Linked DNA regions of Oryzias latipes. The protein of the gene in region 2 interacts with the protein of the main gene of each other region in a biochemical or structural test. Links are inferred from orthologs where the notes say so. Each region holds a gene or a part of one and is shown on either strand. Other genes may lie near its edges.

Region 1 (3,820 bases), on a different chromosome or scaffold from region 2:
AACTGGATCTACAATGTACGGCTGGATACCTCGCCGTATATTTATACGCCATTTTTTGCACCGCTAATGTTAGCTTGGACTTGTGAGGTGCTTGTTGCTAGCGGGAGAGTACGACGGAGTTTTAGGGACACGGTGAGGAAAAAAAATTCTGGCCAACGTTTCGAGAAAAAACTCGTCGTGTCGAGATAAAAGTTGAAATAAAGTTTCTATATTAAAGTCGCAATGTTGCGCAAGAGAGATTTTATCTCGTAAATTTAGGAGATAAAAACTCGTAAATGTATTAGATAAAAACTCGTAAATGTATTAGAAAAAAACCCGTAAATTTACAAGATTATTTTGGAAGTGAGCAGCATGCAGAGCAGCAGGTGAACGCCGCGCAGCAGCAGATCAGACCGACTAAACTCAGTTGAACAGGTGAGCTAAATGTTTATTGATAACGTTCCAAATGACTGGAAGCTCATTTGTTTGATTTACAATTTATTAAAGTTTTATTTATTGACGGTTGGTTTGCAGGATCTCTGCAGCCCGATGAAGCCATCGGGTGTCCCTGCAGCTTTCCACTTCAATCCTTTCTTCCTCCACGAAAGACAAGATCTCTACGTTTGTGTGACGCTTCAGTCTGAGGAGGAGAAGCACTTTTTGCCTATTTTAACGTTGTAATGCTAATATAACAGACTATTTTCATTCATCTTTGTTTTTTAATGATCAAACGGGACGCTTCATCTGGAGGAGTGGGTGTATGGAACACTGTTTACTTCTGCATTGGTGATCTGATGACAGATTCATGACGTAAGGTGACAGATGAACTTCAGGGTTTGTGAATGAAAAGGAGAATAAAGGCTGCAGCGGTTCTCTACACCCAAACGTGTCTCTGAGCTCCTTATTTTACATATGAAACGCCGCTTTACTGACACCAAACCCCGGAAAGACGGATCCACTGACAATAATCTGATTTAGAGTCGCCAAAGGCTCAGAATCTCTTTGTTTTAAACCTATAATCCGGAAATAAAGCTTCACAAAAGGCTCCACACATTTCTTCTTCAAGCTAGGCTCCGATAAACGGACAAATTCGGTGTTTTCTCCTTGTTAATCTATGAATTTCTTCCCGTAAATTTACGAGTTTTTATCTCCTAATAAAATTACTTTTTTTTGGTGGCCATAAAACTCTGTCGTAAACTCTGGTACAAAGCCACTAGCTCACTAACATTAGCCATAACACTGAATACTTCTGCTCTCGCGCAACATTGCGACTTTAATCTCGAAACTTTATTTCAACTTTTATCTCGACACGACGAGTTTTTTCTCGAGAATTTTTTTCCTCACCGTGGCCCTAAAACTCGGTCGTAGGAGAGAGAGCAAACAGAGGCATGCTAGGAAATTAACTAGGCTAACTTCCGCGCTAACAGTCCCACCCAAACGCACATTTCTAATGACCCCGTCTGCTCTGCAGAAAATATGTCTTAAAAACAGTTTTTTTATTTTATGTATAAACAGCATAATCATAATTAAAAGACCACTGGGAGCAATGTTACAATAGAAAAAAATAGTTGGACTGGGACTTTTAATAAGCCAAAATTTCTACTAATGGGGTAAGAAAAACGGTCTTATAATGAATTCTTATTTGAAGAAAAAAGTTCCAGTCACTAAGACATGTTTCCTTAAGGCTATTTTGCTGTTGAAAAACTTTCTTGGTAAGATTAGTTTTCTTGCAAGACAGGACAGAAAAAAGGACATTTTTCTTGAAACCAAGGTCGTTCTACTTCCTTAAGATTCCATTTTTGCAGAGTAAGCAAATAAATAAATGAATTTATAATAATTTCAGTCAGAAAACTCCTTCACTAAAGACTTCAGTGTCTCTCCTGACCTTCCTTCTGAATCCAAACGAATGTTTAGAGGCTAAACTTTCAGAATAAGTTTAGTACAGAACAAATATTTTCATAAAATAGAAATGTTTAACAACAAGTAGGCTAATCACCATTATTACACACATTATGAATATTCTATAAATATCTTGATATTTGGGGACAGAGGACTTCGTGGGGGGAATCGTACTCACAGGATCAAAGTCAGGCAGGTTGAAGGGGGCGTTCTTCCAGCCTAAAAAGTATTCCTCCGGGGTGTGGAACTGCAGTCCAATGTTCAGAGCGAACTGCAACAGAAGGAGGGAAACTTGGAGCCATTGATGTTTGGCGTGACGTATGCAGGGGGGGGGCAAAGGAACCAAAAATGAGTAGCTGAGGAAACACATCAAGGCAGCAGCTCTTACCAAACGGTCACTGCAGGAAAAATCCTTCTTCTTTTTGCCAGGAGCCCAGTTTTCTGGCCTCCCTGCAGCGTCTGCACAAACAGACGGCTGCAGCCTTAGTGTGCACTTATGTGTTCGTGTGACCTTTGACATTTACATGACAAGATCCTCATGTCTACAAAAGCAACTAAAAGCTTATTTCTGACTTAGGTTCTTCTGTTATCAGACATACCTGACATGTTTCGACGGACGTCCATTGAAACATGTCAGGTATGTGCACAAACACAACCGTGTCTGATAACAGAAGAATCCAAGAAGTCAGGAAACAGTGCAGAAACTGTGACCTTTATTGAACCAACATAAAGCTTAGTTTTCAAAGGTTTAGCTCTGACAAGTTTGTAATACAACACAGCCTTCTTTTATTCCAGTGTTTGAAACATGCCAGCGAAAAGGACTAACCTCCCACATAGAAGCTCTGTTTGAGGTCAACGGTCACGCCGTCATTAGCCTGGTCAGGAAACACGCAGAGAGATCAACAAATCAGAAAAAGCAACAGAAGACAAAGCAGAGAAAACCTTTCCAGGCCCGTCTGTGAATGTCTGCCGGGGTGTCTGCGTGCTCCTGACAACCTTCTCACACAGGTGGTCCCACATCCCCGTCACTGGTTTCCTGTAGATTCCAGGACCGGCTGCCACAAACACCTGAAACAGGGACAAGGAGGGGATTCCAATTCTGCTTCCCACCCGCCGCTCCAACCTGTAGAGTGACCAACCTGCACGGGCAGCTGCAGCGTGGCCAGGACGTCCTCCACCTTCGATTTGAACACCTCCGGCCTCAGTTTGCCTTTGGCGATCCCGAGCTGGTTGGTGAAGAACACCACCTGATGAAGGAGCGGACACTTTAGAAGCCAGAGTTGAGCACTGCCAGAGCAAATACATTGGAATATTTCAATTACTGGTTGAAACTTCTGAAAGATCTCATTTCTTCGCTCACCTTGTATCCTTTCTTAAGCAAACTGGACAGTTTTGGCTGAATCTCTACGTAAAGAATCCTGGTTATCAAGAAAAAAGAAGGCCGGAACAGCCCGAGCACACAGGTAAATCCAACTATACAAGCCTAAAGACGATAGCAGTGACACAAACGTCCACGATCTTCACGATGATGATGGTAAAAACATGCGAAGCGACATACTTCCAGTCGTCTGGTGCGGTAGGAAAGACTTTGCCTGATTTGGTTGTGATGATGCATCCATCGATGTCAAAACCAGCAATCTAAGAGAAGGAGAAACCCAGAACAGGAGGATGAGCGTCACACAGGGGTCTCATAGGCTCTGTCTGATGAGAACGATGGAAGACAAATATAAAGAAAATTACGTTTAAAAGCCCATTTCATGCAAAAATCAACTGTTTTTGAGCGTTTAAGTGTATCATAATGTTAATTCCTTACAACCCAAAGTTGTAATTTGATCCATAACGTCTTTGTTTTCCTCGTCTAAACTGGAATCTGAATCTAAACTGTACAGCTAGATATCTCCAACATTTCTGCTGCATCGGTAATGCTAGGTTGGGGGTGTGA
Region 2 (4,389 bases):
CAATACCTTTAGGTGAAGTGCTCGACTTGTTTGCATTTTCTCGGTTAAAGAAGAGACTTCCGGGTTGCAGACTGGACCCAGATGAAGGCGACTCATCCTTTATTCTGAACTGTCCCAGCTTTGTCACTTTCTGAGCGGGAAACACAACGAAGGAAACAGAAGAAATAGGATGGTGGGACTCACAATTTGTGACAAAAAGTTCCAAAGTTGTTTGACAACACTCCCATGTTGGTTTTTCTGGATTCCCTCCAGATTTGTAATTAAAAAACCAAACACATTGCATCTACCACCTTGTGCAGTGGTTCCTCACTATATTGCAGTTCACCTGATGTTTTAATGCAGTTTGTATCCTTTTTTATTTGTTTTTTTAACAGCACATTGTCTTCTGCATCCTAATTGGCTGTATTCCCAAATCAACCTCTTCCATACTGTCTATCCTACACAGAAAGCATTCAGTTTGCCACATTTACATACATCCTCTATCACTAGCATATCTATGTTTTTATTCTCTAACAATGGATTAATGCTTTAATCAATGTTTGAATTTTAAGAGTTTAAACAAGAGAGAAAAGTGTGTTAAGTGTGCAGTTAAGGGGTTACATCTAAAATAGTTTTAAAAAAAAAGACTAACAAATGACACTAATCCAATAACATCACATTGCGTTTATTGAAATCAGAATAGTTTCAGTTTTTGCAAGATTTACATACATTTATAAAACTTAGATGTGATGAAGTGCATGAGTGCTGAGGTGCACCCACTAACACTTGAGATCTTACCATTTTCTTTATGAGAGCGTGTGTTAATAAGGCTAATTTAGTGTTTCCTAACTTTTAAATGGAAAATAAAATAGAAAAAAAAAAGTTAACAGTGGTTTACTTACAGGGGAGGAACTTGGAGGCTCATTTTTGTCAGGTGGAGAGTGGAACTTAACAAAGGCGATTCCATACGCTATGTTCTGTAAGGCACAAAAAAAAAGCTTTCATTTCGGTTAACGGTTAGTCATGAAGCTTCAACACCAAACATGAAGACTTTACTGTTTCCACAAACTGTATTTTGTTTGACAGCCCGGTAAGTTGCGTATATTTTCTTTAAGTTATAGATGTTTATCCCAACACTTTTGCTATTTTTGTTCTTAGTTACGTACACAAGAACTTTGAGTCAATTTAGAAGGAAATATCAACATTAGCTTTTTCTTCCCACTGCTTGTCAAGCAAATAATTAACCTCTTTGAGACAAACCTCACATTTAATGGATTTAATGTGTCATGTACTGTAAGACTGGCAGGTTCATTTCAGTTGGCTGAAGGTGAACCACAGCATGAACCATGTGTGCTGTGTGCACTAAACATATGATAACTTTACTCCCCCAAAGCACTTCAATAAATCCAATTGATCAAAATGACACTTTTATTAACGACAAGGAACAAAACAGATGATATGGAAATGTACCTCGAGCCGCAATTAATCATCCAAAGTTTGCTAAATCTATGTATAGATAGATATTGGTTTTTCTTTTTTTTTCGTGTATTTTTGGTTTAGATTGTTTGAAATAAGCCAAATCCGATTCTAAAAATGGAGATATTTGTTTATATAAATGGTCAAAATCCTCACCTTGTTGTATGGCTGGCTGCAAACAATTTTGACTCTGTCCCATTTCTCCTGAGCTGTGCTCTTCTGCAGCTGGTTGGGTCCAAAGAAACGCACGCGGTTCAGGTTAGATCCGTTACGACTTTCCGTTGGAGACATGAAGGAAGATGTGACGAGAAGAACCTGAAAGAGTTTTTGAAATTAGGGCACATCCTGTTAAGTAACAAAGAGTAAAGATGGGGGGGGGGGGGTATTTTTTGAAGAAATACCTCGTAGTCCTGAGTTTTAGGGGCTGAAGAGTTTGCCACCAGCACCTCAACAAAAGCGGATCCTTCATTTCCAATATCGATACTGTGCACCTGCTCCTCTTTCTCAAACTGAGAAAAGGAATAAGAGAAGGAATAAAATAAGTCAATTTTTTAAAAACATCCAACTTATGCCTGTATTTCAATCATTTTATCTATGGAATGAAGTGGAAAATCATTCAAATCAGCCAGTTTTGTTTTTTGTTTTAACAAACTAAGCTCACATCCGTAACTGAAATGCATTAACTTGAGTGTGAAAGCTAAATCAAACCTGCAGAATGACTGATGTCTGCTTCTCCCCGGCTCTCGCTGCTTTCCACTTTCTGTAGGTGTCTGAGCTCAGCAGGTTGTCCGCTTTGTGAGTCTGTTATATCACAACGAAGAGTGGGTTTAATAAAGCCATGAAGCCACAACTAACTGCTACACTAAAAAAAAAAAAAACACAGCAAACAACTTACATTGTCCTCGGAAGTGCAGGATACGACGTGTTTGAGTTTGATTTCTGGCATTTTGGTATTCCTGCTACTAGTGTTTTTAATCCAATAATCTATCTGTCACTAAGTGTGCCAACCGGGCGCTGTTGTGACTGTTTTAACCTGGCGAGAAAACACAAACGTTCAGCTTTTCGGAGTGACACTAAATAATGCATAGAAAAGTGTTAATTACTGATGTTTGACAGGAGCAACAAACTAACTAGCGAGAAAAAGCTAGCAGACTGAGAAAACTGAACTTTTTCGTGAACAGCCTGATCGTTTTAACAAACTGAAAGGCAAACGTGAATTAATATGTAGCTTCATGATTGACACGTACCCGTTAACTTGACGTTATATTAAACATCACAAAGACCACGGTAGGAATGGTTATTTTAAGGTAAACGTGTCTTATTGTTGCTCATTTTCCCACCAAAAGAGAGCAAATGTCTTCATCCAACGCAACTTCCGGGGGTAGATTACCATCCAATAGGCGCCTTTGTTTTCTTCTTTTACGATAAACTAATGGAACAATAGCGTTGTGTCGCCACCAAGTGGACGGAGGGAGCATAGGTTAAATGACAAATAGCTGAACTTTTACTAATAGTAATTTCAGTAATAATTTTAATAATGATGGGTCATATGAATAATAATATTGATAATGAAATAATAAAACAATAATAATATCAACAATGATGATGATAATAGTAATAATAATAATAATTTCAATATCTTTGGCATCCTTGTGGCAAGACCATTCTTCCACTTTCTCATATTTACACATATAAAGATATTACTATTTTACAGTAGTAAAAAAATATATTTTTATATTAAGAAGCAAAGTTATTTTTAAGTTAGAATATTCTAGCTCTGTTCACATAATCTTTCTACACAAGTAATGAGAAGGTTTGTTACCCAAACATGCATTATAAAGCTTCTTTTTTATTATTTTTTTCCCAAACTGCTTTTTTCCAAACTGTCTTCAGGTAATTTAGATTACCTGACTAAATGAGTTCTGATTTATGCATAATTTTAATCATGTTAACTCCAATTTGTAATTTAATTCATAATGCCTGTCATTGACTTTATTTATATATCTGACACCCCAGCAAAACAAAACCAACAGCAATATTAATCAATAAATATGTTGTTTTTAAGTAGCAAATACATCTATGTGCAGTTTCAATTTATGTTGATTTGTCGTTATGATAAGACAATAGTCTTTTATCGGTTATTTACTTCTTTTTTGGTTCGTGTTTTTTCTTTACATCAAGTTTTTCTTAATGTATGAAAAATCCTATCAGAGAAAAATAAAATCTGCCTTCTTTCCAACTTTCACACTTTTTACAATAATTTTCCATAATAGAAAGTCTTAAAACTTAGAGAATATTATAAAATAAAAACTAAACAACTGCTGCCCTGCGTCAGACTGGTGACGTCCAGGGTATAGTCCGCCTACCTCGCCCATGAGTGACTGGTGACCCCGAAAGGGACAAAAACGAGTTTAGAAGATAAATGAATGAAAAATGAATAAATAACCACTTATGTCTACAACCAAACTACATGAAAATCTGCAATTTAAAAAAACACACAAGTATTTATGTGTAAATAGAGAAGTAAATGAATGACAAAGACATAATTAATACACATTGTAAAGGTTCAGTGCCAGCCAGAAATATTTATCATATTTGTAGATATGTGTGTTTGTTGAGATTATATCACACAACACTTTTGCAATGGGTTTTTAACGTAGAAAAAGGGATAGGAGACAGTTTTCTTTTCATTTATTATTATGTTTGCATGATCACAGACTTACAAATAGTCAAAAGTAAGTTAAATGCACACTTATACCCTGAACGGATGGTCTTCAGTTAAACATTCAGTGAAGAAAAAAAATGAAACCCTTCGCATGTGACTCTGAAATTAGAGGATCTCTACATAGATGGCCGTCTCAAGCTCAGCAGAGGTGTCCTGCACCTGTCTTGTTTCTCTGATACCCACTCTGGCTGGTCCGATATCTCCACCTC

Evidence for each region.
Region 1: the proteins of xrcc1 (region 2) and pnkp form a complex in vitro, tested with the Homo sapiens proteins (3 studies listed by BioGRID and IntAct, with this or other methods). The link is inferred for Oryzias latipes from reciprocal best matches to the Homo sapiens genes XRCC1 and PNKP.

What each region holds. Positions count from the first base shown.
Region 1 is NC_019871.2:32,537,685-32,541,504, reverse strand, and holds part of pnkp (bifunctional polynucleotide phosphatase/kinase), read right to left. Parts: intron 3,517-3,820; coding exon 3,437-3,516; intron 3,297-3,436; coding exon 3,239-3,296; intron 3,126-3,238; coding exon 3,018-3,125; intron 2,947-3,017; coding exon 2,875-2,946; intron 2,754-2,874; coding exon 2,705-2,753; intron 2,338-2,704; coding exon 2,267-2,337; intron 2,150-2,266; coding exon 2,057-2,149; intron 1-2,056. UniProt on the Homo sapiens protein: Plays a key role in the repair of DNA damage, functioning as part of both the non-homologous end-joining (NHEJ) and base excision repair (BER) pathways.
Region 2 is NC_019874.2:25,075,329-25,079,717, reverse strand, and holds the start of xrcc1 (DNA repair protein XRCC1), read right to left. Parts: upstream 2,849-4,389; 5' UTR 2,703-2,848; intron 2,489-2,702; 5' UTR 2,402-2,488; coding exon 2,351-2,401; intron 2,257-2,350; coding exon 2,164-2,256; intron 1,965-2,163; coding exon 1,857-1,964; intron 1,771-1,856; coding exon 1,612-1,770; intron 957-1,611; coding exon 882-956; intron 131-881; coding exon 7-130; intron 1-6. Other genes in the region: B-cell receptor CD22, read right to left, coding at 4,286-4,389. UniProt on the Homo sapiens protein: Scaffold protein involved in DNA single-strand break repair by mediating the assembly of DNA break repair protein complexes. Negatively regulates ADP-ribosyltransferase activity of PARP1 during base-excision repair in order to prevent excessive PARP1 activity.